Linked DNA regions of Lepisosteus oculatus. The protein of the gene in region 1 interacts with the protein of each later gene in a biochemical or structural test. Links are inferred from orthologs where the notes say so. Each region holds a gene or a part of one and is shown on either strand. Other genes may lie near its edges. The genes, in order: coil and vrk1.

Evidence for each region.
Region 2: of the proteins of coil (region 1) and vrk1, one has a biochemical effect on the other in vitro, tested with the Homo sapiens proteins (2 studies listed by BioGRID and IntAct, with this or other methods). The link is inferred for Lepisosteus oculatus from reciprocal best matches to the Homo sapiens genes COIL and VRK1.

What each region holds. Positions count from the first base shown.
Region 1 is NC_090704.1:46,851,907-46,867,253, reverse strand, and holds coil (coilin), read left to right. Parts: upstream 1-7,972; 5' UTR 7,973-7,977; coding exon 7,978-8,375; intron 8,376-8,748; coding exon 8,749-9,799; intron 9,800-10,138; coding exon 10,139-10,228; intron 10,229-10,585; coding exon 10,586-10,633; intron 10,634-10,849; coding exon 10,850-10,919; intron 10,920-11,527; coding exon 11,528-11,619; intron 11,620-11,723; coding exon 11,724-11,807; 3' UTR 11,808-11,978; downstream 11,979-15,347. Other genes in the region: scpep1 (retinoid-inducible serine carboxypeptidase), read right to left, coding at 365-502, 992-1,105, 1,461-1,545, 2,670-2,798, 3,213-3,250, 3,743-3,815, 4,791-4,865, 5,190-5,345 and 3 more; rab11 family-interacting protein 4A, read left to right, coding at 14,890-15,042. UniProt on the Homo sapiens protein: Component of nuclear coiled bodies, also known as Cajal bodies or CBs, which are involved in the modification and assembly of nucleoplasmic snRNPs.
Region 2 is NC_090703.1:1,342,033-1,357,934, reverse strand, and holds the start of vrk1 (serine/threonine-protein kinase VRK1), read right to left. Parts: upstream 7,891-15,902; 5' UTR 7,752-7,890; intron 7,746-7,751; exon of another isoform or gene 7,655-7,745; intron 7,292-7,654; coding exon 7,132-7,291; intron 6,390-7,131; coding exon 6,337-6,389; intron 6,114-6,336; coding exon 6,044-6,113; intron 5,447-6,043; coding exon 5,359-5,446; intron 4,854-5,358; coding exon 4,745-4,853; intron 2,738-4,744; coding exon 2,645-2,737; intron 1,417-2,644; coding exon 1,284-1,416; intron 873-1,283; coding exon 752-872; intron 628-751; coding exon 569-627; intron 1-568. Other genes in the region: protein phosphatase 1 regulatory subunit 37, read left to right, coding at 9,841-9,988, 11,538-11,635. UniProt on the Homo sapiens protein: Serine/threonine kinase involved in the regulation of key cellular processes including the cell cycle, nuclear condensation, transcription regulation, and DNA damage response.

The DNA.
Region 1 (15,347 bases):
CTCTGATTCGGTGTGTCACCCTGAGCCAGTGACTGCAGGCAGGACCCACTCTCCGTGACACCCCTCCAGGGCACCACTGAACACCCCTGAACTGGTCATTCTCAGGGGAGAAACACCCAGGTCTCTGCAGCACCAGATTGTCTCCCTTGAAATAAACCAATTATTCTTCTGCCACTCATCCTCATGAGACAAGCTTGATCACACACCGTTTTGAAATGTAAAACAGGCAGAGGTGAAGGACTGTGGCGTTTCTATGCTGTCTGTGCTCCTGCTTGGACACCAGTGTTCTGGGCACTAATGACAGGCTCTTGTCTTGCTCCTGCTCCTCGGACCATCTGTGTGGTGTGCAAACTCAGGGCCATACCCATGGTGTCCACGATGAGGTCCAGCTGTCCATTGTAGACAGTCACATTGACCCCGGCTGCCAGAAGCTGGTCCACTATGTCCACCACTGGCTTCATGAAGTCCCCCTCCATGCTGACGAAGACGTCCGAGGCCTGACCTGGGGAGACAGGCACATGGGTATGTGTCCCTGCAGACTGGACCAGCGTGACCTGTGACCACGTGCTGTGCAGGAAGCCCTGGGAGACACCTGTCCCACTGCAGGAGCCCACTGGAGAAACCACTGCTGCCCAGCCAGGATCCTGCAGGACCCTCAAGCCACGGCAGGCAGGGGTCGCCTCCTGTCCCACCAGTGCGCTGGGAGGTGGGTCTCTGCTGCGCCCCTCACCAGCCCGGACCCCTCTGACAGAGACGCAGCCCCTCAGTGCGCCCGTCTCTGCTGGTCCAGCTCACCGTCACGGTCACTACGGTCCACAGACGCTCACGCACTGTAATTCAGATCCCGAGCGATGGTCATGTCGGGCAGGTCATTAGGGGATCAGGCGATCCCAAAGACCCTGTGGATCCCCCGCGTGGGGAAACAGGAGCAAACACAGGGAAGGGAAGTGCAGAGCGAGACCGGGGGTCCCTCGGCTGGCCTGGCACGTACCTCCCCAGGTGACCCGGCTGGGAATGATCTTGAGCTTGTCTCGGATGGGCCCGTTCATCAGCTGGCTGAGCGTCTGTCCGTGCAGCGGGCCGAGGCAGCGGCGCTGCAGGGAGACTGCGGGAGACAGCGGGAGCGGGGCTGAGCGGCCGGCGCGCGGAGGGAGAAGATCGGCGGCCGCCAAGAGCACGAGCGCACGACGGGTCTCGGGGATCTGACACCGCGGCGCCGGCGTCGGGCTGGAGTGTGTTTAAAGACACGTTAGGGTGCCATTGTCAGTCTTTGTGCCCACAGTGCCCAAGAGCAGCCCAGAGCTCACTCTCCGTCAGGAATGAAGACCCCAGGGCGGGCAGAGGCTCCCCTGACTGCTGGAGGCGATCTGGGAGGAAGAGAGCCCCCCCCTCAAGAGGAGCAAGGGCTCAACACGGCAGGAAACCCGGCACTCGGGAGAAAAAGAAAGGCTCGTTTTTACCACGGTATCCATTTTTTGCCACAGCCTTCCGTGCCTCATCGGGGTCCTGGGTCAGGATGTTGTAGAAGTTCACCCCGTTGGTGTTCTGAAAGGGCAGGACAGGGTCCAGAGTGACCGAGCGCTCCTGTCCACCGGGGAGGTCATGACCGGACAGGGGCAGGGGCAGAGCTGGACCGAAACTGCCCCCAGGGTAGCCTGCCACAGCTCAGACAGGAAACTAAAAGTTCAACTACGACTTGAATGGTGAATGGGTGCCTAATCTGACCCACAGCCCTGCCCGCCCAGTGGGCGACTCGCTAAGTGTGCTGGATCATGCCAGACCTCTTCCCTCCTGCTTGAAGAAAGCAGTTGTTCCACTGGGAGAGTGGATCCTGCACCGCCTCCAGGGCCGTGTGAGCACGGCCCGCGCCCCTGCTCCCAGAGTGCCGTGTGAGCTCGGCCCGCCCCCCTGCTCCCAGAGTGCCGTGTGAGCACGGCCCGCCCCCTGCTCCCAGAGTGCCGTGTGAGCGCGGCCCGCCCCCTGCTCCCAGAGTGCCGTGTGAGCGCGGCCCGCCCCCTGCTCCCAGAGTGCCGTGTGAGCGCGGCCCGCCCCCTGCTCCCAGAGTGCCGTGTGAGCGCGGCCCGCCCCCTGCTCCCAGAGTGCCGTGTGAGCGCGGCCCGCGCCCCTGCTCCCAGAGTGCCGTGTGAGCTCGGCCCGCCCCCCTGCTCCCAGAGTGCCGTGTGAGCACGGCCCGCCCCCTGCTCCCAGAGTGCCGTGTGAGCGCGGCCCGCCCCCCTGCTCCCAGAGTGCCGTGTGAGCGCGGCCCGCCCCCTGCTCCCAGAGTGCCGTGTGAGCGCGGCCCGCCCCCTGCTCCCAGAGTGCCGTGTGAGCACGGCCCGCCCCCCTGCTCCCAGAGTGCCGTGTGAGCACGGCCCGCCCCCTGCTCCCAGAGTGCCGTGTGAGCGCGGCCCGCCCCCTGCTCCCAGAGTGCCGTGTGAGCGCGGCCCGCCCCCTGCTCCCAGAGTGCCGTGTGAGCGCGGCCCGCCCCCCTGTTCCGAGAGTGCCGTGTGAGCGCGGCCCGCCCCCTGCTCCCAGAGTGCCGTGTGAGCGCGGCCCGCCCCCCTGTTCCCAGAGTGCCGTGTGAGCTCGGCCCGCCCCCCTGCTCCCAGAGTGCCGTGTGAGCACGGCCCGCCCCCCTGCTCCCAGAGTGCCGTGCAGTGAGGGCTCACCTGCTCCACCACGGTCTCAGTGTTGGACCAGAGCTCGGTGGCCTTCTGGAAATCTCCCTGCTCCATCGCCTGCTTCACCGCCATCGCTGCTGCGTTGACCTCCTCCAGCCCGCGGTCGTCCAGCAGGGACTGGGGGGTCATGGGAAAGGGTGAGAACCCGTCACACAGCTCTAGACAGGAGACTCTGAGCCCCCCGGAGCAATCCCTCTTCCCACTACCCTGTGGACTAAGGAGAATCCGTAATCTAAGACTTTAACCAACACCGGAGCAGCCTGCTTGGCTGAACTTTTAATGCTTTAAAAGTGATGTAATGAGCATTCTCCCCATACTTCAGACAACACACTTTTTAAAGTTGCAATCCTGGTGAGACGGCAGGTGTATTATGGTCTACAAGAGCAACAAAATGTTATCGGAGGTAATGTAGCATCAGAAACACCATCAATTTCCATCACCCAGATTAAGCACCGGCGCTGTGCAGTCACACTGGGCTGAGAGATCAGCGTGTGTACGGGTCACACCAGACAGCGCTGCACTCTTACTCACTGTGCTGTACAGGTAGGGCCCCCAGGACAGAACCGAATCTAAAGAGAAAAAACAACAGTTTTTTTCATTTCACCACATTTCCAGGAGAGATACATGTGGACTTGTTTTAGCACTTCATTCTAGACGAGCCCAGACAAGCCCAGAAGAGCCCGAATCCCTTTCGCACCAGCGGCAAGTAGCAGACGGGGAGCACGGCTGGCCACTCAGTCCAGCTCAGCTCTCTCGGCTGCCGGTTTGCTAACCGGACCCTTAACCTCAAGCAGTTTCATCCTGCAGGACCCCAGGAATGTGGGCTACATGGTTTGCCCATGTTTTGTCCCATTGGGCTACAAGAAAATGTGTTCACCTCCTCATGCCTTTCCTAACAGCCCTTCCTCGTTCTTTCTGCATCGTTGCGCTGAGAGGAGAGGAGCAGACCGCTGCTAAAATTCTGCAGTCAATTATACACCGATCCCACTGGTAAATGGACACTGGTGCTCCTTTGAGCTCAGAGCCTCTTGAGGAGCAGTACAGCACAGACGTCGACGCACCTAGAGGAGAAATCCACGAGTCTCCAAGAGCAACTCCAGCAAATCTGCACTTGATCAGGCCCTTCTGCACAGCCTGCAATAGAGCACAGAGGGCACAGAGCACAGCAGGGTCAGAGGTCAGCCTCCCTCCATCCCTCCGGCTGCAAACTAGAGGAGAGCACGAGGCCCAGGCCGCGACCCCCCAAACCGCCTCCAGCCGCCTCTGCAGGCTCCCACACTCGGCCCGGCCGCTGAGCCGGCGCCGTGTCCCGAGAGGGGCGCAGGAAGACGGGGAGGCGTGCAGGGCTGCAGACGAGAGGAAATCCGCCAGTCCGCTATCCAGCCCCTCCCTCGGCAGCCTCGGCCCCGACGGCCCCCCTGCGCAGAGCCCTCCAGCGCGGTTTCACAGGGAGGACGCTCTCTCAAGGAAACACTCTTCCGCCCGCCTGCAGATCACCCAGATCTTCTTACTCCCCTCCACCAGACAGATTTCTCACGTTATTATTTACACACAGACAGCAAAGCGCTGATCCACCGCAGAGCCCAGACTGCTGACATCTCAGTTTCACTTCCCCTTCCTGCCCCGAGGTGCTGAGCGCCGGGCAGAGCGTGCCAGGGCTGGCCACCTTCCCCGAAACACCCCGCAGGCTCCCCCAAACCCTGCACTCCCCAAATCCCCACACAGGCTCCCCAGACACCCTGCACTCCCCAAATCCCCACACAGGCTCCCCCAAACCCTGCACTCCCCAAATCCCCACACAGGCTCCCCCAAACCCTGCACTCCCCAAATCCCCACACAGGCTCCCCAGAAACCCTGCACTCCCCAAATCCCCACACAGGCTCCCCAGAAACCCTGCACTCCCCAAATCCCCACACAGGCTCCCCCAAACCCTGCACTCCCCAAATCCCCACACAGGCTCCCCAGAAACCCTGCACTCCCCAAATCCCCACACAGGCTCCCCCAAACCCTGCACTCCCCAAATCCCCACACAGGCTCCCCAGAAACCCTGCACTCCCCAAATCCCCACACAGGCTCCCCAGAAACCCTGCACCCCATATCGGACAGTACCTCGTGCAGGCTCAGGGAAATAGCCGAAGCCATTTTGCCTCCGTAGGACTCGGAGAAGATGTAGAAGGGGACACTCTGCAAGAGAAGGAGAATGAGAGAGAGGAGAAGACTTTCAGCACAAGACTCCGAACGTGACGTTTCAAACTGCCCCAGGGCCTGAGCGAGGGGCTGAGAGAGGTAAGCATCCTCCACTTCATATGATAACAATAGCACTCTACACTGTATATTGCATTAGATAGTTTTCAGGCCTGAAAGAAGCACCTGTGTGACCTGGAATCTCTACTCGTAGCTTTAACTGTAGTTTGATAAATCCTGCAACATGCGCAGACCACCTCCAACGAGGCAGATGCACTGATTTATGGCTGGCGTCTCCCAGGTGAGGGGCACCTGTGTTCTCACCTGGAACTCTGGCTGGGCCTTGAAGAAGGCGGTCAGCAGGACCATCATGTCGGAGGCCACGGTGGCCACGTCCCTGGCCAGGGCGCCCTCGCTGTCCGTGTAGCTGTAGCCCGTGCCCACGGGGTTATCCACAAACAGCACGCTGGCTGCCTGGACCTGCACACAGACACCGGGGGGCGCTATGTTATCCACCTCGGGCCTGCACTCAGTCGGGGGGGGGCTCTGTGTCAACTCAGCTCCCGGGAGCCATTTGAACTAGGAGCTCAAACTCATCTCCCTACTCCAGCGCTCAGAAGAACGTTTCTAATCACAGGACGCCCTTGACGTTTCAAAGCAGGCAGGCCAGGCCGCAACAGGGAAAAGTGCACCGCGGAGCGATGGACTTTGGTGCGGGTTCAGATGAGACCCTGGAAACGATGACAGTGCGCAGCAGGGGGCGCTAGTGAAGTGAAGTGAGCACGGATCCGCGCGCAGGCGTGCGCCAGACTGGTCTTTACCCAGGTGGTGTTCCTCGGCCGCAGGTCCCTGTCCAGAGGCCCGATCTCTTCGAAGTTCCCGAACCCGCAGCCAGATCCCCCGGGGCCGCCCTGTGGGGCAACAAGACCGCGAGAGCAGTAGAGCAGATGCCGCTAATGAGCCTGGCACACGGGGCGTACAGGAGCCCGTGCTCTGAGGGGACCCCAGTACCTTCACGCAGGGGTGTCTCTGGGGGTGGAGACTCTGCTCACCTGCAGCCACATGACCAGAGGCAGCTGTGTGAAGTTCTTGGAGGGGTTGTTGGAGTAGTACAGCCACCAAAACATGTGCGCCCTGTCTCGCACGTCCACGTACCCCCAGCTCTCCCGACCCCCGCCCGGGGCCGGCGCCGCCCAGCCTGCGAGACAGGAAGAGTCCGACCGGTACCTTCAGTACCGCGCTGGATGGGGCCCACCGGCCCTCTGTTCAGAGTCGGGCCCCTGTGTGGTCTCAATCTCCACATCACTCATTTCGGTGCCGAGACCAGAAAGAGCTCACTGGCTAAACACACCTGTAACCTTGGAGGACTGCTGAAGATACTGCAGAGGAGGACAGGGTCTCATCTCAGGCTACAAAGACAAGCTCTTTATGCAAATGATCATGCAAATCACTGAAAGAGCGACAGCGGACTCTTGGACCTCAGGCCGCGGCCGTGGGATATTTACCTATACAGTTCGGTCTCTAGATGTGTTTACACTCGACTCCAGGGCTCAGTTCCAATGGCGCGGCTTCCTGATCAGACAGTTTGAGCTCAAGTTTCAGGTAAGAGTTTCTTCCTCTCTCGGAGAGCCAAAGCAAACAAAGGATTTTCCTGACCTGGGCTACCTTTGAGCACCAGAACTGTCTCTAAGCTGCGGGAAAGCCTTTATTTCCCTGCGATCTGAACCGAGCTAGTGCGCTCACGCTGCGGGGCAGAACCCGGGCTCAAGCGAACCGTCAGCTGATCGCTCTTCTGCGGCACCGATCACCCATCAAAAAGGAGCCCAGAACGATCAGCTTCCCCGCCCGTCTGCGTTTTTCTCTTCAAACTCGTGTTCAAAACTATAAAGAGATCCATTTTTAAGTTTCCCCGTTAACCCCCCCCCCCACAAAAGATCCGGCGTCAAAATAAAAACCGAAAGTAACACCGTGCAACAGCTCGACTCAGGGAATAAATCTAGAATAACAATAAAAACCGACAATAAGTGTGTTCGTATTAACGCTCAGACCTGCAAGAACAGCGAAGCACAGGAGCAGAGCACTCTTCAGGACCTCCATCCTCGCACAGTCATATGACTTTCCCCGTCAGCTGATTCCTGGCGCCTCATCTGACCAGACACCGCAGAGATCGCGGGGGCGCTAGATGGGCTCTGCTGGAATCTCCGCCATGACGCGCTGCGCCATCTTGGGAGGGGAGAACGGGAGGAATCCGGCAGCTCGAGGAAAAGCTCACAGCGGCTCTTTGGACCCCCTCCTTGTCGTCATGGGGTACAGCACCTCACTCGAGGTACAACAGCAGCGTCTGCAGCGGGGACTCGAACCCACAGCCTGTCAGTCTATAGACACTACTTCAGGGATATTTATTTCAAGGGCAGTGTGCAAGAGGATGGAACAACTTTCAAATTCTCCTGCCTCTGGTTTCCAGCACTAGGTGTGACAGTAGCGCGGGTGCAGACTACTCTATATGTAGACCGCAGCGGGCAGCTTAGCAATGCTCACGGCACACAGGTAAAAATAAACCCTAAAGTACCCGCCTGCTATATCGCAGGGGCTGTGCTGCAGTCACGTGTTATCACCTCGTACTCTATCAGGTATTACAAGCAAAATGATTAAGATAATAAAATTATATTAATGAGATATATGTTTTTATTTGAATTGCTATAAAACACAGCTTTTTTCTGGCTCAGCCCTTAAAAGTGTACGTACAGCTCAACGCATGTACTCTAAGGCCAGTAATACCTGTGAAACCCCGGCGTCCTGGCCAAATTTCCCATTGGCCCTTACCAATCATGGCCTCCTAACAATCCCCCTCTATGAATTGGCTACATTGCTCTCCTCCCCACTGAGAGCTGGTGTGTGGTGAGCGTTCTGGTGCACTATGGCTGCCGTCGCATCATCCAGGTGGGGCTGCACACTGGTGCTGGTGGAGGGGATCCCCATTACCTGTAAAGAGCTTTGAGTGGAGGGTTCAGAAAAGCGCTATATAAGTGTAAGCAATTATTATTATTATTATTATTATTATTATTAACACTATTCCCATCCCAGCACGAACTGCTTTAAACACCTGGGAGAAATGGTCTTTGAGGTCAGTGGGGCGCAGCTCGCCTCCGGTCCTCCAGGTGGCGCTGTCGGATCCAGCGTATTAAAGCGGTTACCGCTCTTTCTCTCGCGAGTCGATTCCCCCGGAAGAAGCTGGGAGGGGGAGGCTGTAGTAAACATCATGGCCGCCCCCACGGTCAACGCGGTGCGGGTCCGGCTGTACTTCGATTACCCGCCCCCGGCCGTGGCGGACTGCCGCATGTGCTGGCTGCTGGTGGACCTGAACCAGTGCCGGGTGGTGGCCGACCTGGCCAGCATCATCAGGGACCGGTTCGACTTCAGCCGCAGGACGGTGCTCAACCTCTCCATGCAGGACTGCTACCTGCCGCCCACGGAGAGCATCCATGTCATCCGCGACAACGACAGCGTCAGGTGGGCGCCTGCCGGCTGGAAGCATTTATTTTAATTCTGTAGAAATGTGAAAAGTGCGAAAGCAAGATAACATTTGTTAGATGTAAAAAAAATACTTTGGTTGTATAATTAACTTCATTATCTCTGGCAGTTAATTTTTCTGATTGTCTTTTTTCTCTTGTATTGGTTTCTGCTTCTCTAGTTGTACTTGTAAATTCTTCATACATTTCATATATTTTTTTTAAAAAAACGTAAAATGATCAGTCCAGTCTCTCGGCCGATGAGAGCTCGTCATTTTGCCCCTGCCTGCCCTCGCGTGTGTTCTGTGAGACGGGGGTTCCTGCGTGGCCTGAGCTGACCTCTTGGCTTCACCTTCACTGTGCCCCCCCCACAGGGTGAAGGTGGAGAAGGTGGCGGACGCGAACGGGTTCGACTGTGGCGGGGCCAGCGAGGAAGACTCCTGCAGGGAGATTGCCACCCGCAGGGCGAAGAGGAGGAGGAAGGACAGCGAGGCCGGCGAGCTGCAGGCCCAGGAGGACCTGGACAAGCCCACGAGGAGGAGGAGGAGGAGGAGGAAGGACAGCGAGGCCGGCGAGCTGCAGGCCCAGGAGGACCTGGACAAGCCCACGAGGAGGAGGAGGAGGAAGGACAGTGAGGCCGGCGAGCTGCAGGCCCAGGAGGACCTGGACAAGCCCACGAGGAGGAGGAGGAGGAAGAAGAGCGAGGCCAGCGAGCTGCAGGCCCAGGAGGACCTGGACAAGCGCAGGAGGAAGAAGAAGAAGAAAGAGAAGAAGGGGAGACAGCCGTCCGCTGAGCCGGCGCCGGGGCCGGTCCCCCAGGAGAGCGGGGCTGCTGCCGCCTCGGGGGAGAGGAAAGGGGGGGTCAGACCAGGTCCCCCCACCTCCTCGGACAGCAGCAGCGACGAGGAGCCCCGCTCCAGCAGTGCGAGCGCCAAAACCAGCTCCGCCGCCCAGCAGGGCGACCGAGCCCAGAGTGGGCCGAGCAGCTCGGTCCCGGGCGGGAGGGCAGCGGCCGGCCGGCGCCCCTCGGACTCTCCCGGGAGCACGGGGCCCGGTCCGGAGAGGGGGTCCCCCGAGCGGGCCGGGGAGGCCCCTGTCCCCCGGGCCAGGGCGGAGAGCTCCAGCTCGGACAGCAGCAGTGGGGACGAGCCGCTCATCAGGCACCCGGGTCTCAGGGGAGGTGACGCGGACCGGGCCCCCCGGGGTGTCGCAGGGGCCGCCCGGGGCTTGGGCAGGGGTCCTGCGCCAGGGGCCGGGGGGGTGAGGGGCCGGGGGGACGGCAGGTTCCCCTGGAGGGGGCTTGGACCCAGGGGGGGCCGCGGGAGGGCGAGAGCAGGGCCCAGGAACCACGTGTACTACAACTACAACGGGGGCGAGCAGCAGCACGACGGCGACGCCCTGACGAACTCGTCTGTGGTGCTGCAGGTGAGTCTGCACGCCGGGCGTCAGGACCCGGGCGGGGTCTGGAAGCCCAGCCCGGTCGTGTTGCGCAGGGAGGAAGGGTGGAGCTGTCGTGGGGAGGTAGGGAATGTGATTTTGTCGCGCACGACTCCTCTCCAGCTGTGACAGCTGACTAGCCCTGCTGTGATTAGGAGCTACAGTCCCAGCAGGAGCTTGGTGAGGTGGGAGAAGACTGGACTGTGAAGTGACCAAGGGGCAGGGAGGGGTCAGTCTCTGGAGATCGAGCAGAGCCGGGCTAGGGGTTGAATCCTGGTCCCGAGTCGATCCTGGGGAGTCACTCCGATGGGCTGTTGTGCTTTGCAGAACCCTGCTGCCGATGCCCCCAAGAGAGACTACAGTCTGCTGCCCCTGCTGGCCGCCCCTCCTGCTGTCGGACAGCTGATTGCCTTTAAGGTAAGACGGGGATTAAAAATAAACTACATTTTTAGTGGGTTGCCTTTTTCAAATTGGGGAATTGTTGATCCTCAAGAAAATGGGTCACTTCTGGATCCGGATGGCCGGGTCTATTCTCGTTCGAGTGGGGAATGAATTTGAGTAGTACGTTTTGAGGTTGAGAGTTGTGGGGAGAAACCTATCAGCCTAATCAGTCAGTGTTCATTATCTTCTCGCTCTGTGTACAAAGGTCAGAGGTTTTGGTTTAACCAGCTTTTAATTTTCCCTCCAAAGAGAGGTTTAAGACATGGCTCTGTGCAGAATGTACAGCCTCAGTGACACCTCCTGCTCCTCTCTCTCCATCTCCTTGAAACGCAGTTGCTGGAGCTGACTGAAAACTACTCGCCGGAGGTCTCCGACTACAAGGCAAGTCCCTGTTCTTGATGCAGGGCTTTAAGAGGAAGGTGGTGGGGTCCACATGCTGGTCTGGGGAGAGCGGTTCTGCGATTGAGCTCGGATGCTCCTGCCTGTGGTTATGGAAATTGTGCAGAACCCCTGAAATCTGAGCTTAACGTCTCGACGGTCCCAGTTTCTAACCGTCTGCTCATCCTGCCATCTTCCTGCCTGTCCTTGCCCCCTCAGGAGGGGAGGATCGTCGGCTTCGACCAGAGCACCAGGCAGCTGGAGCTGGAGCTGCTGTCGTCCGCCCCAGGTACCGCGTGACTGAGCTGGGACAGCCCGCTCCAGCAGAACCGATCCTGGGCTTTCTCTTTCAGGTTCCTCTGGGGAGGTGCGAGACGGACATGGGCCGGGGAACCTGCAGTGTTACAACACTAGAACAGGAAGTGAAGACGGGGTCTGAGCGCTGCAGTCTTGGGGGGGGGGGGGGCTCTTGAAGGGTCTCGGGTTGAAAACTGATTTTCCTCCTGAGGCTTTGCATTGTGCTTCAGCTGGCTGAGAGGAGCGAAGGACTGGAATTTGTACTGTGGGGCTGCAGTCTGATCATTGTCGGGTGCCGTTGTCCTGAGGAAACAGAGAAGTGGATCTGTGCCTATTTATCGTCATGCCTCCGTTAGTTGAAGTTTAGGTGGCAGGTGGTGCTACGTGCTAGAGCCAACAGCTGTGAACATCTGGAGTGGCTCAGTTGCGTGCAGTACAAGCAGCCTGCCGGAGTTGGGGGGCCTGGGGATTTGCACTGGGGGTGCAGACGGGTTTGGTTAGTCCTCCCCCACTCCTCGCCAGAACCTGTTCTCCTAAAGCTGCCGTCTCGTTGGCGGTTGAGCTGTTTGGGTTTTAACTGGTGTCACCCTGGCTTCCCAGCAGCCCCAGCCGAGCCGGGGAAGTTCGATCTGGTGTACCACACGCCCGACGGCGCCGAGATCGTGGAGTACGCCGTCTCGCGGGGCTCTAAGGTAACCGCCGGTGTTATGGCCGCGTGATCATGGCGGGGGGCGCGGGGGGGCGGGGGTCCCCCCTGTGGGCGTGCCGCGTGACTGAGCCCTGCGGTGTCTTGCAGCTGACGGAGCGCTGGGACTCTCTGCTGGAGCCGCGGCTGATCGTGGACGGCGCAGAGGGAGGCCTGGCCGGCGCCGCAGACTGACCAGGAGTCCGGGCCGCGACGCCGCTCGCCTCGAGGAAACTCCCTTTTAGGACTTTTTTTTTTTAATACTGTGAACTGGTTTATAGCGGCTCTTACTGCAATAAGAGTGCTTTTTTGTATAAAGTTACAATTGAGCAAGTTTTAGTTAATAAATGTTCCTTTTCAAAGCTACCCTGTAGCAGCTGGGCTCCTGGTGGCCGTGTCTCGGCAAGGCGGGGTGTAGTTCCCCTTTCCTGCCAGCAGGGGGCGCTTTGGGGAGCGTTTGTGCTAAAAGCGGAGTGAGGGCTGTAAAGAACAGGCAGGCTGCAGGAAACATAGCGAAAGCAGTGGGAGGTCTGCGCCCGAGCCCTGCGTGTGCTCGGCTCCGGTAGGACAGGACAGGACTGGCCTGCAGTGCTGATGCTACACTGGGGCCAGAATGAGCTCAGTGGAGTCCCTGCGCTACCAGGGGCTTGTAGTGGGGCCTGGGTGCTTTGCTGTGTGACCGTGTGTGTGTGTGGGGAGGAGTTCGGGATGTCTCTGCGGCTCGCGGGCAGCCGGTAGTTGCCCTGGTGCTGTCCTGTTCCTCTCCCCTCCCGCTGTTCTGCACGTAGCGCTGCGCTCAGACTCGGTTGCACCACCAGACTCCTTCGTTCACTCTGATCCCTCTGCAGGCCGCTATTCCCTCCGTTTTTGTGTGGATACAGGGGTCTCCCCGCCTGCTCCCGGGGAGCCCCACGCCTGCCCGTTCTCACCCCGACCGCTGGAGAAGCCGGTGCAGTGGAAGTGTTTTACTTTCCCCCTGCTGGGTATGAAACTAGTTCAAGGGCCGGCTGGGTGTTAGGGCTGTGGGCAGGACGGGGGAGGTTCGAAGACGCTCTGGGCGGGGGGGGGCCTTCACACTCTCGGTCTTCGGCGCAGCCTGAAACCCTGAAGCAGCATCGCAAACACGGGGAACACGCTCCGCCTTCACAACCCGGCTGTGTGGCTGCTCCCGGGGGGGGTGTGGTTGTGGAGGAGAGAGTCAGGAGAATGGGCCGTGTGTGTGGGGGGTACAGGGTGGAGGTGAGAGGTGTGTGTGTGGGGGTACAGGGTGGAGGTGAGAGGTGTGTGTGTGGGGGTACAGGGTGGAGGTGAGAGGTGTGTGTGTGGGGGTACAGGGTGGAGGTGAGAGGTGTGTGTGTGTGTGGGGGTACAGGGTGGAGGTGAGAGGTGTGTGTGTGTGTGTGGGGGTACAGGGTGGAGGTGAGAGGTGTGTGTGTGTGTGGGGGTACAGGGTGGAGGTGAGAGGTGTGTGTGTGTGTGGGGGTACAGGGTGGAGGTGAGAGGTGTGTGTGTGTGTGTGGGGGTACAGGGTGGAGGTGAGAGGTGTGTGTGTGTGTGGGGGTACAGGGTGGAGGTGAGAGGTGTGTGTGTGTGTGGGGGTACAGGGTGGAGGTGAGAGGTGTGTGTGTGTGTGGGGGTACAGGGTGGAGGTGAGAGGTGTGTGTGTGTGTGGGGGTACAGGGTGGAGGTGAGAGGTGTGTGTGTGGGGGTACAGGGTGGAGGTGAGAGGTGTGTGTGTGTGGGGGTACAGGGTGGAGGTGAGAGGTGTGTGTGTGTGGGGGTACAGGGTGGAGGTGAGAGGTGTGTGTGTGTGGGGGTGCAGTGTGGAGGTGAGAGGTGTGTGTGTGGGGGTGCAGTGTGGAGGTGAGAGGTGTGTGTGTGGGGGTACAGTGTGGAGGTGAGAGGTGTGTGGGGGTACAGTGTGGAGGAGAGAGGCAGGAGACCAGGCTGTGTGTGTGGGGGGGTACAGTGTGAAGGTGAGAGGTCTGTGGGGGTACAGTGTGGAGGAGAGAGGCAGGAGACCAGGCTGTGTGTGTGGGGGTACAGTGTGAAGGTGAGAGGTGTGTGGGGGTACAGTGTGGAGGACAACCGGGGCTCCCGCCTCATGTTTCAGCCGCTAATGGAAACACTCGCTGCTCTGATGCGCCGACCGCACGCTTGCTGAGCCTTAAATCATGAAAGTTCAGTGCTTCTTTCTGGCTTGCTGGCCTTCTGCGTTGCAATAAAAAGGAAAGATCACGCTGTGGAGGCGAGTCCTGGCGCGGGGTTAGTCCTGGGTCCAGTTTTTTTTTTCCGTGAGATGTAACTAAAACACCCCCGCGCACACACACGCACAAATAATTGAAAGACCAGGCGTGAATTTCTGTTCTAATAGACAATGCAAAAATGGGATCTGTGAAACACCGCGATCTTAACTCCAGCAAAATCAGGTTTAATTTGTTTTTTTTGTGTGGTCGATGTAACCAGCTTTTACCGGGACCGAACTGAAGTCCGGCAATCGGCTGCTACTGCCACACGCAGCTGGTCCAGCAGGGATGGACAGGTCAGTGTGTCCAGTCGGAGGTCTGGCCTTGAAGGGCAGGTTTCGCCTGTCCGTCCTGGAGAGATTTGTACGTCTCGCAAGTTTGCTGCATAAACCATCTTGCAGAACGTGTGAGGACTGAGTTACAGTCCACTATACACTAGAGATATTCTTTTGTTCAGCGTGGGCAGCTTGCAAGGGCGTCCCCTGGAGGGGACAGCAGCAGGTCCTGGGTGTGGATTTCCGGTCTGTCCGCGTCCCCTCTCGGCAGGACGCGCCGCAGGTCGAGGTTTGGCCAAATTCGCGCGTTTCGGAGGAAAGTCGCACCTGAGCTCTTCGGCTCTTCAGGTGAGCGCACAGCCGGGTCAGTCTGGGAGAGTACGGGAACGCAAACACAGTCCTGATTCCGAATACACCCCCCACCACCCCAGAAACCGACTCGACGTGACGTCCCGTGGGGGGGGGGGTGTTTGTTTTTTTTTGGAAGCGTTCCATCAGTCTCAGTCTCCGTCTCCCCGCCCAGCGCCTCAGCCCTCGTCCCTCCCCGCTCCCTCCCTCCCTCTCCCCGCCGCCAGCGGAGCTCCCCGGCCCGGTGAGGCTGTGATGTCACAGCCGGGCTGCTTTCCAGCGGAGTCGAGGAGGAGGACGGTCATGGTGCCGGCAGCTCGGGTCCTGCCGCCGGCTTCCCGCTAGACCCCCCCAGTGCCGCCGACCCGGCGCCCCGGGATCCGGGAGAAAGCCCCCCGTTTCTGGAGGATGGACGGGCAGGGCAGCGCCGAGCAGGAGCAGCTGCTGCGCTTCTTGAAGAAGCTGAAGGAGGTGTTCGACGTCTGCGACCAGGATGCAGCCGGATATATTCGGGTCGAGCATTTCGTTCACCTGGGCTTACAGTTCGGGCAGGGAGACGAGGTGAGGCGCCTCGCCAGGGGCAGGGAACAAACCGACAGCAAATGTACGCTTCGGATGCGTTTTATTTTTCAATTGCACATCCTTGTTTTCCCAAGAAAACAGCCGACGTCACACTCCATCAATAATGTACGGAATAGTGAGGGGTTATTGCCAGCCGGTTGTGGGGGCGAACAGAAAAACCTTATTATATCAGGATGTATACAAAAAACACGGGGAATTGTGAAATCTGAGACCGAGGTCGTCGGCCTGTTTTGAGCCGGGCTGAAATGTTTTGATTCTTGTTATTGACTGACGTCTCTCAAGTT
Region 2 (15,902 bases), on another chromosome or scaffold:
CAGGATTAGTCAGGTTTTTCATATCTGAATGTAAATACCTTGACATTGAAATATTAATTGCAACCATTAGTAGTTTTTAAATTTAAAATTAAAGCAAACGTTTCATACACAAAACTAATTATAAATGCTAGTCATAGTAATCACTGGCTTACATGTTACTAAACTCACACAGTTACGTATCTCGAGTTAAATGTGAGAGTTCTTAATTAAATTAAAAAAGGAATTAAGAAGGGAACTTATGGAGCAGATTTCTAAATACATATTTAAGAAGACAGCTAAACTAGGACAGTAAATGTTTCTAATAAAATAATCTCTGTGCTTCAGCTTTCTTCCAAAACATTTTTTTCAGGAAACCATAAACATAATTTGAAATATTTTTTTAATTGTTACACTGGGCAGTGGTTAAACTCTCACTGTGGAGCCCCGCAGCTGTGATTCAGTTTCTGTTTCAATAGATTCAATAGGCATTTTTTTTTCCTATTTAACAAATTTCTGGAAAATGAAAGATATTACAGAGTATTTCACAATTTACTTTGCACCACATATGCACACAAATATCTGCACTTACCTGGCTTTTCCTTGGTTGAAAAACAGTTTGAAATAAAATCTGAAATGTTCTCTCTGCACCTGGAATGAGTTGATTGAATTAATTTTCTTAAAAAACAAACATCTGGAAATCAAACATTCAGCATGTCAGCTTTTTGCAGCTTTTGCATAATAAATTCAGACTGCAGTGAAATTAAACCATTACCTGAGTTTTGCGTCTCGAACGTAGTTGGGGTCTTGCAGATTATCCTCCCAAGGCAAGCGGCCACACAACCACTGTATCATACAGTACGCCAGGATCTCAATGTCTCCTCTCCTAGAGGGAGCTGGAAAGGAATTGGAAAGACAGAAGAAATGCAATAATGTTTCAAAAGATCCAACAAAAAAATCTTGATAATATGCACAGGTTTTTACAATATTGCCAACAACAGTAATTGGGAACATTAATAAAGTTTGATTTAAAAAAAACTGCTGCACTTTGACTATTACAATCTTGTGGTTGTGAGGCTTTCATTTCCATAAAAGTATTTGGAAAGTTGAAACACTGAAAAACAACATATTCAATAAGTTCAGCATTTGTCATTTTCAGATGAGTCAACTACCTTCTTTCCGCATTAAACTGAAGACAATTGTAAAAAAATCTAATTATTTAGATGGGTAGAACATAATGTATGTAAGTAACGCTATCTTCATATAGAGGGAATAATATTTTCATCTCATTTTGAATACTAACGTACCTGCTCCTCTGTGTGCATCAATGCTGGTGAACTCAATGGTCCCATCATGACACCTCTTTGGATCTTCTTTATAGTCTTTTATGTTCCCCTCTGGACAATACCTATAGGCCAGTCCATAATCTACTAAGTAAACCTGAGTTTGCAAATATATAAATATATAAATTAGATAAATATTTGTATCCATATCCATAGTTATATACAATGAGAAATATTATGCAATAAACCTATATTAATCTATACAAGTTTTAGATGCAGATTGAACTGCAGTGCACAAAACATAAATGAAAAGGTTTTATGTTGTAGATAAGCTTTCAATGATAAAAAAAAATAGTTTCAGGACATTTCTGGAAAATATCCTACTTCAGCTGGTCAGAAAGGAATTTAACAGCAGTGCACTAAACCCATTACTGGCAAGGAAGCTGCTAGTTATAACAAGTTGAGCAAAGGGTGGATTACGAGGTACATCACGGTATTTTATCCAAAAACCTGGTTCGTTCGGTTGATCACAAACAGAAATTACATTATAATGACCTGAAACATTCTTCCACATCTACTGCCAAATGCTTAAAGGAGAATAAAAACATTAGCCCCACGGTCCAGCACCTTTTCTACATTCTTCTTAAACACAAGGGAGTAACAATAACACAATGACTGCTGAGGTGTGAATAATTTTGAACACAACTGAATTTGTTTGTTAAACCTATTTTCAGTTACATCAAGTTCAGTTTGTACCAAGGGTTTGAATACATTTGAAGCCAAATCAACAGTACACAGCTTATATAAACTAAATTAGCCAAACATGCTGCATCTATAGCCCTGAACATTTAAGCAAGGAAAGAACAGCTTGAAAGTCATTCACATTTCAATAACTAAGGAAAAGGCGAACAACTAAATCCAACAATCCCAAGAGGTCTCAGTCTAAATTTTAATTATAAAAATAGCAGTTTAATAATATACCACTGTTGCATTATTAATCTCCAAATTAAATATTTGCTCATCTAATGTGCTTTGAACAGGCTTTGTAGTTATTTCATCTATTTTTTCAAGGTATCACATGCACAGCATACAAACATAGGTAGACCTCTATTTCTTACAACTTAAACAGAAATAATGTATAAAAAGCAATAACACAGCATTCTGTTATGCATCCTTATTACCAATCTTCACTTTACACAAGCACACAGACTAAATAAATTAATGTGAAAGGGTCTTAAAATTTAATTTAAGCAAACTGCATCAATCATTTCATATACATCGTAATATTGGTATTAACAAGTTGAAAAAAACAATGTTAAATACTGTACCATCATTTTCTTTCTGTTAGAAATCCTAAAATAAAAACATGACACGAGGACACTGACCTGATTGGGGTGTTTGTAGCTAAGAAGAAGGTTCGAGGCCTTGATATCTGCATGCACATACTCGTGCTCATGGATGTACTCCAGGATGTCGAGCTAGCAAGAGAAGACAAGTGCTTCAAACACCACAGCACCATGGGAGGTCAGGTGTCAAACCTATTTTTATACAACGCTCTGAAAAAGAGGACTGCACAGAGTTAAACAAATACAAAATGCACATACTATACATACAAAAAAACAACACTGCTGCTTAGCTACTAATGAAAACCAATAAAAAAAAAAGGTTTTTCACTTGGACTTCAAAGAACTCAAGAGTTTCAGTATATTTCAGCCAACATCAAGTGGAACAGAATTTAGTAGATGGAGAGCACAACAGCAATAAGCTTATTGTTTTATGGTCTTCTCCAGTACAACCAGAGAGTCAAATTGCTCAGATCTGAGAGTAACATGAAATTCAGAGCTCTTGAAGATATTAAGGACTTTTACCTCAAAGACCTCTGCATGTTAATATAGCCATTTTTAAAGTCAATTCAATGATTCATGACTCAGAAATAGCCAATGTAGTGATTTTATAACTGCTTTAACAGATTGAGAATGCTTTGTGGGCACGTGCAGCCTTGCTGATGCATTTTGAACAAGCCAAGACATTCAAAAATCAAGCCATGAATTTATAAATGTACTTGTCTACATCATTCAAGTTATGCAGGTTTGAATCTAGAAGTTTAAACAACAGAATTTAAATTGAAGGAAGGCTCAGTTCTGTATAAACAATAATAAATCAACATTTCCTTCTAAAATGACATTAATGGAGTCATATTATGCCAAGCCTCCTTTAGAGCCAATTGCAAAAACTCTCAACAAATGTCAAGTTTAGATTTTCTATTTGTCCTCAAAGGCGGCATGTAGCCCAACCAAAGGAGCCCAGGGATGGTCCTCTAAGGAACAGCAAACCTCAGAGCACCCAGATTTTGAAGACCAGAAAGAAACCAGTCCAGCCTTACCAGAAAGATCAACATAAAGTCTCAGATGATTTCAAAGGCTTGTATGAGCAAATGTATCAACTGCAAAGAACATTTCTAACAAAATAATAGGCCAACCTTTTCCAGAATTCATTTAAAGGTCAATGTTAATCTTTAATAAGGCAGTTACTATGCTCATATCTGAACAAATCCAGACTGAAACTTCTCTAGCTAATTGTTACTATTAGCAGTCCTTTTTCCAGTATTTTATATAAAGATAGTATTGATACATAATTAGCTAAACCCTTAAAAGAAAACATGGATTTTAGAAGACATATCTAATCAATGAGCAAAGAGGAGTGTTCAGTCTTTGAAAACCCAGGTAGGTCAGGGATCTAAGTTAACAGTAGCAGGGTGCAGCTCCAAGACTACTTTCTCAACATCACAGCAAGACAAGCTACTGGTAGACAGAGCTGAACTATTTGTAGGATAAACAGCAATGGCAAATTAAGTCAGGAGGCAGAGAAATTTCAGAAATTACAAAAGATAGCTATGGTTGAATATTTGTTTTCAGAGAAATTTCAAATCACTGCAATAGGTAAAAATTGTTAATTTTTCTCTTCTAGAATTGAAGCAGATAAATAATTAGCCTAAGCTTTTGCCAGGGCATCCCTGCATTACATCAAGTGGGACTTTTGGACATCAACACAGACCTTAGCTGACCTCCATCGCTGCTCCAGCTCAGAGGGAGCTTTCAGGTCCATAGAGGACAACGTCTAGTTAAAATCGAACATGTCTGAACTGGAGCTTCTGCTTTTATAATTTAATGAGAGCAACGTTATAATAATCAGCAGTTTCAACTGGCAAGAAAAATGAGCCCAACGTTAGTGATTATGCTCTGAATCAAGATTTAAAGTGAAAGGAGGTTATGCTCTCACCTGGAAAACGTTAGCACAATTAGAATGACAGCACCATTGTTAGCTGAAATCACAATGTTGGCGATATTCTGTTCATTTAAAAATCACAGCATTGTGCTGCAGCAGCCATTTGCAGAACTACATGTTAAATGAACACTTTCAATTAAATGACATTATCTTGTTTACTCTACAGTCACAGAAGTATGAGGCTGAATCAAACTACTTACAAGCCTCAGTCCAAGCTGCAGGACTGTTTTTCGAGAAAACTGCTTTCCATTTTCTTCAAAGATTTTTTGCAGGTCTGTACCAAATCGGTCCATAACCATGAACCTATATCTAAAACAGTGAAGACATTTATAAAAATATATATCACTTTGGATTTTAGAAAAGGTTAACAGTACAAGCTGTGATGATGAATTAAACTGTCAGGACAATGATGAAATAATGAGAACATTGCATTCTAATCAGTTGAGCTTATCAAAGAAAATGTCCTTATAAAGCTAACAAATAGTACAGTAATGTTTTTTGTTATTTCTGATTTTTTAATATTTTCACTTCCTAGTGACAGCACTAGGTATATTTAGCTGCTGAGAAAATTATCTTTGAAAAAGAAGCATTTATTTCTACAAAACTTTAAACAGCCCTCTAAAACAAAAGGGCTTTATTCCACACATAATAGAAAATAATGAAATATAATGGTTTGAAAAGTGAAACTATTTTAAACATTTGGCATATTAGTCACTAAGATATGATACAGTTTAAATTGCTAGGCTTTCCCAGATGCACTGCTGAAGACAAAGAAATGCTGAATTACGCAGTGAAACATTAAAAGCAGATTCACCTCTTCCCTCCCTTTGTGTGCAGTCCAGATCCCCAGTACGCCGGGACTCCTAAATATTTCAGCTTGTGAGACCTCACCCAGCTCTGAACTAAACAGGAAAAAACAGTCTAAAACCTTCACACCCAATCAGTCGGTCACACTCAGTCAACCCGTGAATGTAACCTTTCACTGTGCAGAAACCACATACAGCATCCAAAGCAGATTAGAAATGCATTGGAGAAAATTGATCATACTTTATTGAAAAACTATACAGTATAGTCAGATTCTGCCGACTGAAGTGAAAATTAAATCAAGAATGGGGAAATCAATTAAACGTGTTTAATGAAAAAATCCAACTTTCTTGTATGCTATGTAATAATAATGCAATTCCACTGAGGCAAAGTTATGAGTGACTGCAAGCAAACTTGCTAGTGGGCCGAATATTTACCAACAACATGAAAGTTTAATGAATAAAATATGAATCTTACTTAGTAATATAAAGATTAATTGTCTGGGGAGATGCACATGAGAATTTTAATTTATATAATCCAAACCCCTGGGCCACAGAGAACACCAAAAGCATTTTGCAGTGTGTGTATTTGTCCCTTAAGTTGTTGAAGAATAACTTTTTAATAAAAAAGTTTTTACGTGCTTATATATTTAAATGACAAGAGTGTTACAATCCTCACACTTATAGAAAGCTTACTTAGTTCTGGTTTAGCAGCTCTCATGTAGAACTTCAGCTCGGAAAAAAGAGGTCCGTTGTCACTTGGCTCCTGTATAAGCACAGTATACAACTGTAGTTTTCACGTTTGAACACATACCTTAAAGTTATAATCTATAGTATTAGAAATATAATTGGCACCCTTTTTCAGGTATTTACATGAACTGCACAAGAATCACCCACGCACTAAAATAATGCAGTCTATATAATTTGGATTTTTCAGTAGGGACTATTCAAAATCAACAATTCAAGTCTCTCAAAAAAAGAAATCTTACCACTTTAATGACATAAGGTGCATCACTCCCAACTGCTTTAGAACTCTCATCAGCTAAAAAGAAAATCAGATACGTTACCCAAGTTTGTTTCACAGTCATAAAAAAATTCAATTACAATTAACAGTGACAGACTTTTACATATCCCCTCACACATGCACAGCTAAAAACATCAATTTAAGATCGCACATAATGGAAATTAGATTTAAATCACAGGATGAATCTCACAGTACTTTACTATAGAACAACAGAGGTAATAATACACAAATACAGTAAACTGACAATAAAACCAGTTTATAAAGTGAGTTTTAAGACCAGATTTGAAAGTGCTGAGTGATTTGTAAGATCTGATATGGGTTAGAAGATCACTCCAGTCTTGGAGCAACAAAACAGGGCCCTTCCTATTCAAACCCAGACACCCAAAAGAAGGCGGTGCAGGTTACATTTACTTTAGAAATGCAGGTTTATTTAAGACCCAAGCAGTTCTAACCAGCTGAAAGTGAAGAACCCAAAACTGCACTGTAATAATCAAGCCTAAAAGAGATAAAATCACGCATTAGCCTTCCCGCAAGAGAGAAGGAGAGCTGCGAAGGATTTATTGAAATTTAATTGCAATTTAATGAAAAAGGAAAAAAAAGGGATCTTCAGAGCACTGTAAACATGAGCTTCTGTTGGAAAGATGACCCGAGAATACCCGGACCGATACCAAGACCTTCAGCCGGGGCTGACCCATTTGCGGAGTGGATAAAGGGAGCTCATCAGCAGAACCCGCTCCAGCCAGAGTTCGGGTAGACTCACCCAGGTACAGCACCCCGAACCCCCCCTCGCCCACGGGCCCGCCCAGCTTCCACTGCTTCTTCGCCGTGTCGGCCAGCACCTCCCCCGGGGGAAACCGCTCGGCCACTCTTCTCTTCGCCGGGGCCTTGCCCTTCCCCGCCACCTTGCCTTTCGGGGGCATCTGGCGTTACACACACAGTAAAAACACATGATGAGAACCACGAGTCCAAGACAGCTCTCAACACCCGCTGAAGACGACCCTTAGGAGCCGCGCTTAGTTCTTTAACCCGGGCTGTCAGCTGCTACCCTGGGAGTGTTTACATGCGGCGACTGAACCTTCCCTGTGGGTCAGCTGCACAAATTGAAAACACAGCACGACGAGAAAAGCCAAAACGTACATAGTAACTCCACAGGACATGAACTGCAGTCAAATTTAATTACGAGTTTTGCTGGAACTTCACGCGCTTTGTAACACATCACAATGTTAGGACTTGTTATTAAAACGTTACGGGGAAGTCTAACTTCACCGACTTATACGGCCTACCGGTATTTACTGCTTCGTCAATTTCCGTGCTCCTGTTTTGTTTCCAAATAAAACCTCAGTGATCGTGCAAAAAAACTGGACAGTGAAGATAGCTAACCTCTCAAGGTACCAAAACTTATAGTATCCGGAATAAACCAAGACTCTGAGCTCTTCCTATTTTCCTTCCTGACGACCACAACACTCCGAAATTCCCGCACTGAGAAGCAGAAGGAACACCTTCCACAAACACAGCAACAACGGAGCATCTCATTGGTCAGAAACGGGAGTAGTGCGCGCTTCACATCCGGGGTTTCGTCGGTGGTTGATGGTATTTGTAGTTCTTACACAGTGAGTGAAAAGTCGCGTTTGAAATACCAGGAAATCCTGTAAGATGCTCGTCCTTACAAATTAAGTATACAAGAACAGCCAATAGTAAATTAAATACCAGTTTTCTAATTAGACCATTCTAAAATTTGATAGCCTAAACTATGCCAAAACAACATTTTATTTCAGTTTTTGCTTCTCTGTATACCATGTACCTCTTAGAGACTTGTTATTTTTGGAATTCCTATCAGCAGTAGCGACAACACGCTATCACAAACTTAGCTTAATCAAAAAGTTACAGATGCCAGTGTCTCAATATTTCAGAAACTCTGAGATGGTAACAGCCTTTACACGAAAGAGTTGCATTCTTTGTATTTATTGCAAGACAGCACTTGTTTTGTCGGGGGCAGTAAGGTTTCCTCTTATACGTGGGGATGTAAATAACATTTTTCTCCCCCTTTTGTATTTCTGGTATATATGCAAGGTATATATGGGCGTACATGAAGCCTATTATTTGCATTTTATAGTAATTTTAACAATTGTCCATGGTTTCCTTTCAGCGAGGATAGGTTTAACGAGTCCAGCTGCAGCGCTGCTGTCGTGCTCTGCAGGCGGCTAGAGCTGGAGACCCCAGCAATAGGGGATGAAGGGAGAGGAGGAAATTGGGTCATGTGTCAAGGGATTCTCGGCACGGAAAGAAGCCGCAATCATCTTTCATTCACATTCATTTTGACCATCTACCCGGCTGCTGGACAAAATCCGGACATTTTCCGAAACGAGCAGAGCCCGGAGCGAACACGTTGCGCCGGAGAGGCAGGGCTCTGAAGCCGCTCGCCATTCGCGTCTCCCCGTGTGCGGAAACTGTAGCAAAATTAAATTAGACACAACACACGAAACCTCTCCGGACAAAACTGTAACATCCTTAACTGTCGGATTGTTCGCTGCGTTCAAAAAGAAAGGAGAGGCCTCCTGGACACACCGCCAGATTATTGAATACTTTCTTTCATATTCACAGTCAAAAGAAGAATGGAAGCGAAACTTTTTTTTCCTCACCCTGTTGATGTGTGATCAGCATATTGCACATAATGTATTCATTACTGACACGGCACCCGTAGGGGTAATTAACAATACTTTGAAGAGTTCGTTTGTGTCTTCATATTAATAATTAGTATTTGGTGCCTATGAACTCATTCCCAGAAATCTCCATAGTGCATACCCAGGGCACACTTAGAGCATTTAGCAAAGAGGTCCTTTAAAATAAGATGTGTTGTGCAAATGTAGTTTATGCCTTCTTAGCTTTAGTTTCTTTTATCTGGCTATTTGATATGGAAATATTGAATTTCACATGCATGTTAAAAGACTGCCTTATAAATAATTAATGGCATGGTATCCTATATCAGCTTTACAAAAGTGTAGAACAGAGAAAAGGACTTCAGACTTCAGCACCGACCTGTGTCCTCAGAGAGTTACTATCTGTTGAAGCATTTTGCACTACTGAATAGGAAAGATGCATATTTAAGATTCTGCATATCTTAGCTATGCTAATAACTCTATATTATGACAGTTCTTCATAGGTTAGCTTTGTTATTATTGGTAGTAATAATACTGATTGACTTCATAATGCATACAAAAAGTATATAACCTGGAACAGTGACTTAATACGACAGTTTTTCCAGCGTAATAGGACGCAAAAGGAACAGAATCTGAAAATTCGACTAAAATCCACATACAGCAGTGCACTTTATCTTAGGTATTACTGTGTGGAGAAAAAAATACAGTTTGTTTTTACTGAAATGCGGAAGTCAAGGAGATTGTGAACAGACAACATTTAGCTGGTTTAACTCCAGTCCTGTACTGACAGGGTGCTGAGCCCACAGCTCGAGATGGCTTACTCTGAGGACCACAGCAAGGCAGCACTGACTCCCTCTCTCCAGTTTACAAAGAAAAGCAAAGGCGAGAAGCGTGTGTCTTTCCCATCGGATGAAGAAATGGTGTCAGGCTTCGCTGAGCACAAGGACGTGTGGAGGGACGGTGAGCTGATGTCCTTTTTGTACCCTTTCATCTCTGCATTCCCCAGACTGTAGATATACAGTAGAGAGGGTGTGTGGTGAAGTGGAGTGAGTTGGAATGTAAGATCTATTGGACATTTTCTGGCCACTCATTCTTCTGTATTTTCAGGTTTGAGCCCCATAAATCTGAATTCTACGAAGGTTACAACCAGTGTCCCCCAGACTTTAATTAACTGGTCATGTGGGATACTTTGCAGCTTGTCTTTTTAAGTACCCTGATATCTCTTGTTTTTCACAGTAAAATGCTGCTGCTGATGACATAGCTAGAACACTATGGTACTCATTATATTTCCACTCGCACCCCTTTCCTAATGTCAAACCACTTTTTTTCCACTGCTTTTAAGGACAAAACTATGTATTTCAATGGAATTGTATCCTTAAGATAGCTTGACTGCACTACCACATTTTATTTTTAAAACACTGCTTTCTGTCCCTTTTAATTTTTTTACTGTAAGGAAACCACAGTTATTTTTTCTTTTGTGTCTTTTTATGCCTTTGCTGTTCCTGTTAGAATTAATATATCCTTATAAAATATATAAATAGAAACACTTTTTAAAGATGGTCCAGATCACTATGAATTGATGGACAATCATGATTCTTAAGAATTAATTTACCTTATTCTGTTTTTTACTGCAATTGTATTCTATTGAATGTTTACTTCAGAGTTCTGAGCCTAAACCACATAGCATCTCTTTTGAAGTATTTCAGATTTTCTGACCACAATTTGTTCTCTAGGTATAATTGTATCCCATTTTACTCTATCTGTTCCATTTATGTATTTATGTTTACTCTCTTTTCCGATTTAAAATACTTTTGATAATTCCGTCAAATTATGAAAAAGACTAAAACACATTTGCTGTGATCAATACATACTGTATCCTATAACTAATTTTATCAAGATTAAGTGAACACTGCCATTTCCTCAAGCCTCACATTAAATGTCTGCATTTACCTTTTGTAGTATTTACCTATATGCAATAATTTCTGCAGTCACACCAAAAAACAAAAAATCTCTCTAGCATACTTACAGCTATTTTATGGGGCAGGTAAATAAGCTCAAAAACATATTTTATTTCCTTAAAACTATATTCCAAAAGAAAAGGATTCAAGAGTCTGGGTAAGTTTAACCTGACCTCAATGCTCTGGGACAGGACCTAAAGGTTACAAATCCTTAGGGAACTTGGTTTAAAAGAGCATTAAGAGACAGCCCTGTGTTCTGTACTATCGGTATGCTTCTCCACAGGACAGTGTGTACCTCATGAGATATTTCTTTGAGACAGGAAGCACTAATGGTCATTTATTTGTTAGTTGAGTGTTTTTTTTGTTAACATGTCTCTAAAGCTGATTCACACAACCCTTGAGACTTCCTATAACTTTGGTTTCTCCTTTTTAAATAATGATACAAAACGGGGACAGCTTTAATCTAGATTAAGTTTTTAGTGAAAACTCAGTCCCTGTTAAGTGCGTGTAACATATGTTTAGTGAGTAATGATGGAATATTTTTGTTTCAGTAGACAGCATCACCTTGAAAGAGATAATAGCAAACTATAAGCAGGCCTGTCAAAAGCACCAAGTGGAACCCAAGTCAATGATTCTGGAACAGCTCCAGGTTAGTATATAGAGCATGAATCTCTGCACCCATCCCCCGTTCAAGACAATGAGGGTCAATTCAGGCTGCTGTCAGATTTGAAGTTGATTTAATGTACCACACTGGTGAATTATAGTATGTGGTATGTCTACAGTATATTGCATATCTAATATTTCTATAACTTGGAAAAGCACAAATGTTCAACAAAATAATGACAAGTCAGAGGTGAATCTTACACATCTTAAACATCAAAACTACAGAGTACACTTTGAAATATATTATAATCAGTTAATTAAAAAGTTTAATGAATTATCTTAATTACATTAATTAAAGCTGGTATGAGCAATTTTAAAAGGAAATGAGTATGGGTTAAAAGTTAAACCAATTAAAAGGTGGGTTAAAGGAAGAAGGTGAAGGGTTCAATTTTCATCTTATTTTACTGAGTTATCACATACAGTATTAAGGACAAGTATATATAATGAATTTAATATCCGTCCTTTTAATTTGGCTACCCTCCTTTTTAGCATCTATTTGTATTCAGATACCATCTGTAAAAATAATGATTAGATCAAGGAGAATTATTTGTCAAAAGATTGATATGATACAGTATATCAGCTTAGATTAGGCTGATTTACTGTATTATCTTGTAGAAGTAAACGATCCTGAATGAAGGGAAAAGTTTTGTAAGTGGTCTTCATGCAGCAGTATAATATGTATGGCTACTGTATGCAGCAGCTGAATGGAGAAATATTTAGATTTAGGCTGCAAGTGAAGTCATAATAAGAGTATGCAAAACAGAAATTGCAGCTTAAATAGCATATTTATTAAATTAGGTATTTGAAGGCAGGGTAGTCCCGTGAGAATGGCCTTGAAAGACTATTTAAAGCATTTATTGTACCCGTGGGCTTTCAGTTTCCTTTGAAATGTTTCAAGTAGATAAAGCAGTACTGCTGTTGGTTACATCTTCATAAGAGCGGTAAACAATAATGGGCTTGAACACAGGGCTCTGGGCCCTAGACTTAACTAAAGGCCTAACACCCTCAGAAGTTCTCTGCAGGGACAGATAAAGTCTGGAGTGTTGTGCTTTAGCTTCTGTGGCATGAAAAGAATTACTGTAATGGATTTACCACTAGAAGGCACCAAATTATATCAGAGAAGGGTTTGGGATGAGGGAATGGATTACTTATTAAAGTAAGTGATGCATTCATTGAAATTAATTTGCAAATTTACAACATCTACAACTGTATTTGGCCTAACGGATGTTTGTGTAGATGACTACTGCAAAAGCTGCTGTATATTTTGGAGTTTTAATTTCCACAGTCTTCGTTAAATTACTAAGGACATACAGTACAGTATTGGTTCCATTCATCAACTTTTTAGAAACTTGTTCCTTGTTATTTTTCACTTCCTAAACTGGTGTCCTTCAACCCAAAAATATGGGATGCGTTTTGATATGAAAGTTGATTTTGTACTAGTTCACCACACATGAAATAGAAAAATCCAGTTCTATTTAGCAGTAATTTTCTTTGTAGCAACATTAAAAGCCTATTATTTCTCAGCACTAACGAGGGTTTGAGTTTCCAGTGGAATGTGACAGTCCAAAGCTTGTGGAGGAGAAAGTCCGTTGTCACTCTACTAGCTTGTCCTTGTGTGCACCAGCCAGGAACTCCACACAACCAGCTGGAAGGACAAGCTTGCGTCACAGAGACTGAATACTTATGATGACATTATGTATTGTACTTTTTACACATGTACTATAGTAGTATAGCATCAAATATGCATCCTTGTGCTTTTGTTTTTGAAAAATACTTCCGCTGATGCACCTGCACACATCATTGGTGATGTTACCTGAGGTCACTGGGAGTTTCAGGTCCTTCAACGTCAGACACCCTCGCCCGGTGACTAGTCTGGGTTGGTAAAGCCCCAGGATGCGTCCAGGTGACTTTGTTGCCCACGAGTCACTGCTCTTGATCCACAGCCATATTGAGGCTCTTTCTGCAGCGTGTATGTGGTTTTGATGGCCTTCCTCTTGATCACCCCTGTTAGGCCCAGAAGACTGTAGAAGACAAATCCTCTGCAGCCCACCTCAATGGCCTCACACCGCACTCTCCACCCGTTCACATGACACTGGTCAAACAGATCTTCATCCTTTCATTAACCTCCTCCACTGGGTCTTCCCAACAATACAATCTGCCTGAGTGTGGTCACTATGATGGTGTTGGGGAACCTAAGCTGCCTTCCTAGGTCGACCTTCAGCTGCCAATCTCTCCCTTTTGCCAAGAAACCCACTGATACTTTGGGCTGTGGCTGCTGACCAGCTCTGACAAATGCAATGGCCCAATTTTCTAGGTGCTGATGTTTACTGCTTTTGATACCCCAGCTAATAGTGTCCGCTAAGTTCAAGCAACCTGGCACCTTAGAGATCCCATCCCGCACTGACATTTATATGTAATTGTTCTTAAGGATATGTCAAGTGCTGGGTTACAATGCTAAAAAATATCTTCTCCTCAGTGTTGAGCAGTGAAATGATCCTTTTCATTTTAAAATCAATCAATGCTTTTTGAGCTCTCATCTTTAGAAATACAGACACCCTCTCCCATCCTCTACTGTTGTGCCACTTTGCCTTCTCCACCGGACAACCTTCAAAATCTTCCGAAGCCCGAAAGAGAAGCTTCGGGCATCACCTGTACTCTTTCTAGAGTACTCCACTCAGGCCAGGTGCTGAGCTCGCTCTAGCAGCTTTGTCAGCCTCCTGAATCTCCTTCCAGCTGGCTTCTGTTTCATCAAAGTTGATGCCAGATCTTGCTGGATTTACCAAGCAGTCCCCGAGATCTTCTTCTCGTCTTTCATCACTGTGGGTATTCCACAGATAACAGCCAATGTCCTCTTTAGAACAGGAGAGCTGGCTGCTGCGCGTCCTCTCAAGCAACTGTTTGATAAATCCAAACAGGTTTGCAAAGAAGGAAGCTTGCTTTACCTGGCCCTGTCTCTCGCCCATCTCCTATGCCATTCCGCCCAACGCAGGGATATAGGCTTCTTCTGAGGATATTGCTTAACTCAGCCAGTGGTGTTCTCTTTCCTCACTTGCCTTTCACAATTCTCAGCTCATGTCTTAAGTGCAGAATTTTGGCAGCTCTCCTGTTCATTGCAGAAGGAGCACTGGGGGTCTTCTTCTCCACTGTACCAAACCTCTCAGCGGCAATGTTAACTATGATTGATTTCATGTTTTTACAATTTCTAGCAAAGCTTTCACATTAAGTTTGCCACCTAACTATTCCTTCATAATCACAATAATGTAATGGTATTGGTTCCACGACCATGTATCGCTACGATTTTAGTGCCCCAGATCCACAGAATACCATGAGAATACCTCAGCTACATTTTAAAGGGCAGGACTGCTTCTCTTAGTGCTGAAAATTATATCTTTTTTGTGTTGATTTACTTCACATACTGTGGTGAGTGGGTGGAAACAAGCCATGTTATATAAGAGCTGGGATTTTTAAGGCAGCAATACTCACTACTTGACCTGGATTTCATCAAAACCCCAAGTCAGCCAAGAATCTCAAATTACAAACATAATACGTGATAGAGGCTTGGTTTACTACTGGTTTCTTGCACCTGAATGGTAGAAACTCTCTATTAAGTGTTGGTTTATAACATGAAACTGGTGGATGGGTCAAAATTTAATCCAGAAAATAGTGCCAGGGAATTATAGATTTTATAGGTGATTTCAAATCCCCAGTGGCTGAAGAATTGAGAAAACCCTTGCACTTTAGACCATTTAAATCAATAATTGATTAAGTTATTAAGTGCTCACACAGACTGGAAACCAGGTTACTTCAGTTTCACTCTGGGAACAAGAGTGAGGATCACACTTTTAAGGAAAGGGTTTTGTTTTATACTCCTATCCTATATATTCTCAAATAAAAGCTTGATTCAAAAGCTTGATGAAAAGGCTTAACTGTCATATATGTATCATTCCCAAGGAGAAGCCTGCTTTGTGCTCTGGTCTAAAGTGTGCTGTCAGTAACATGCATGGACCCTGAATACAGAAATGATGCAAAACGTCAAGCCAACCCAATGAAAAGAAAGTAATGGTATGTATATGGGCCAGCAACCGGGGAAAGGGAAGAAATAAATGGGACAAAGTATGTTTGCTGTGATGAACATTTTCAAGAAGAATGAATCATGATGGAGATGCAGTGCACAATATCCAAAGAACAATAAGAAAGAAGCTGATCCTTTGTCAGATGCCAGGAGGAGGTCCTTAAGCTGGCAGGAGAGGCTG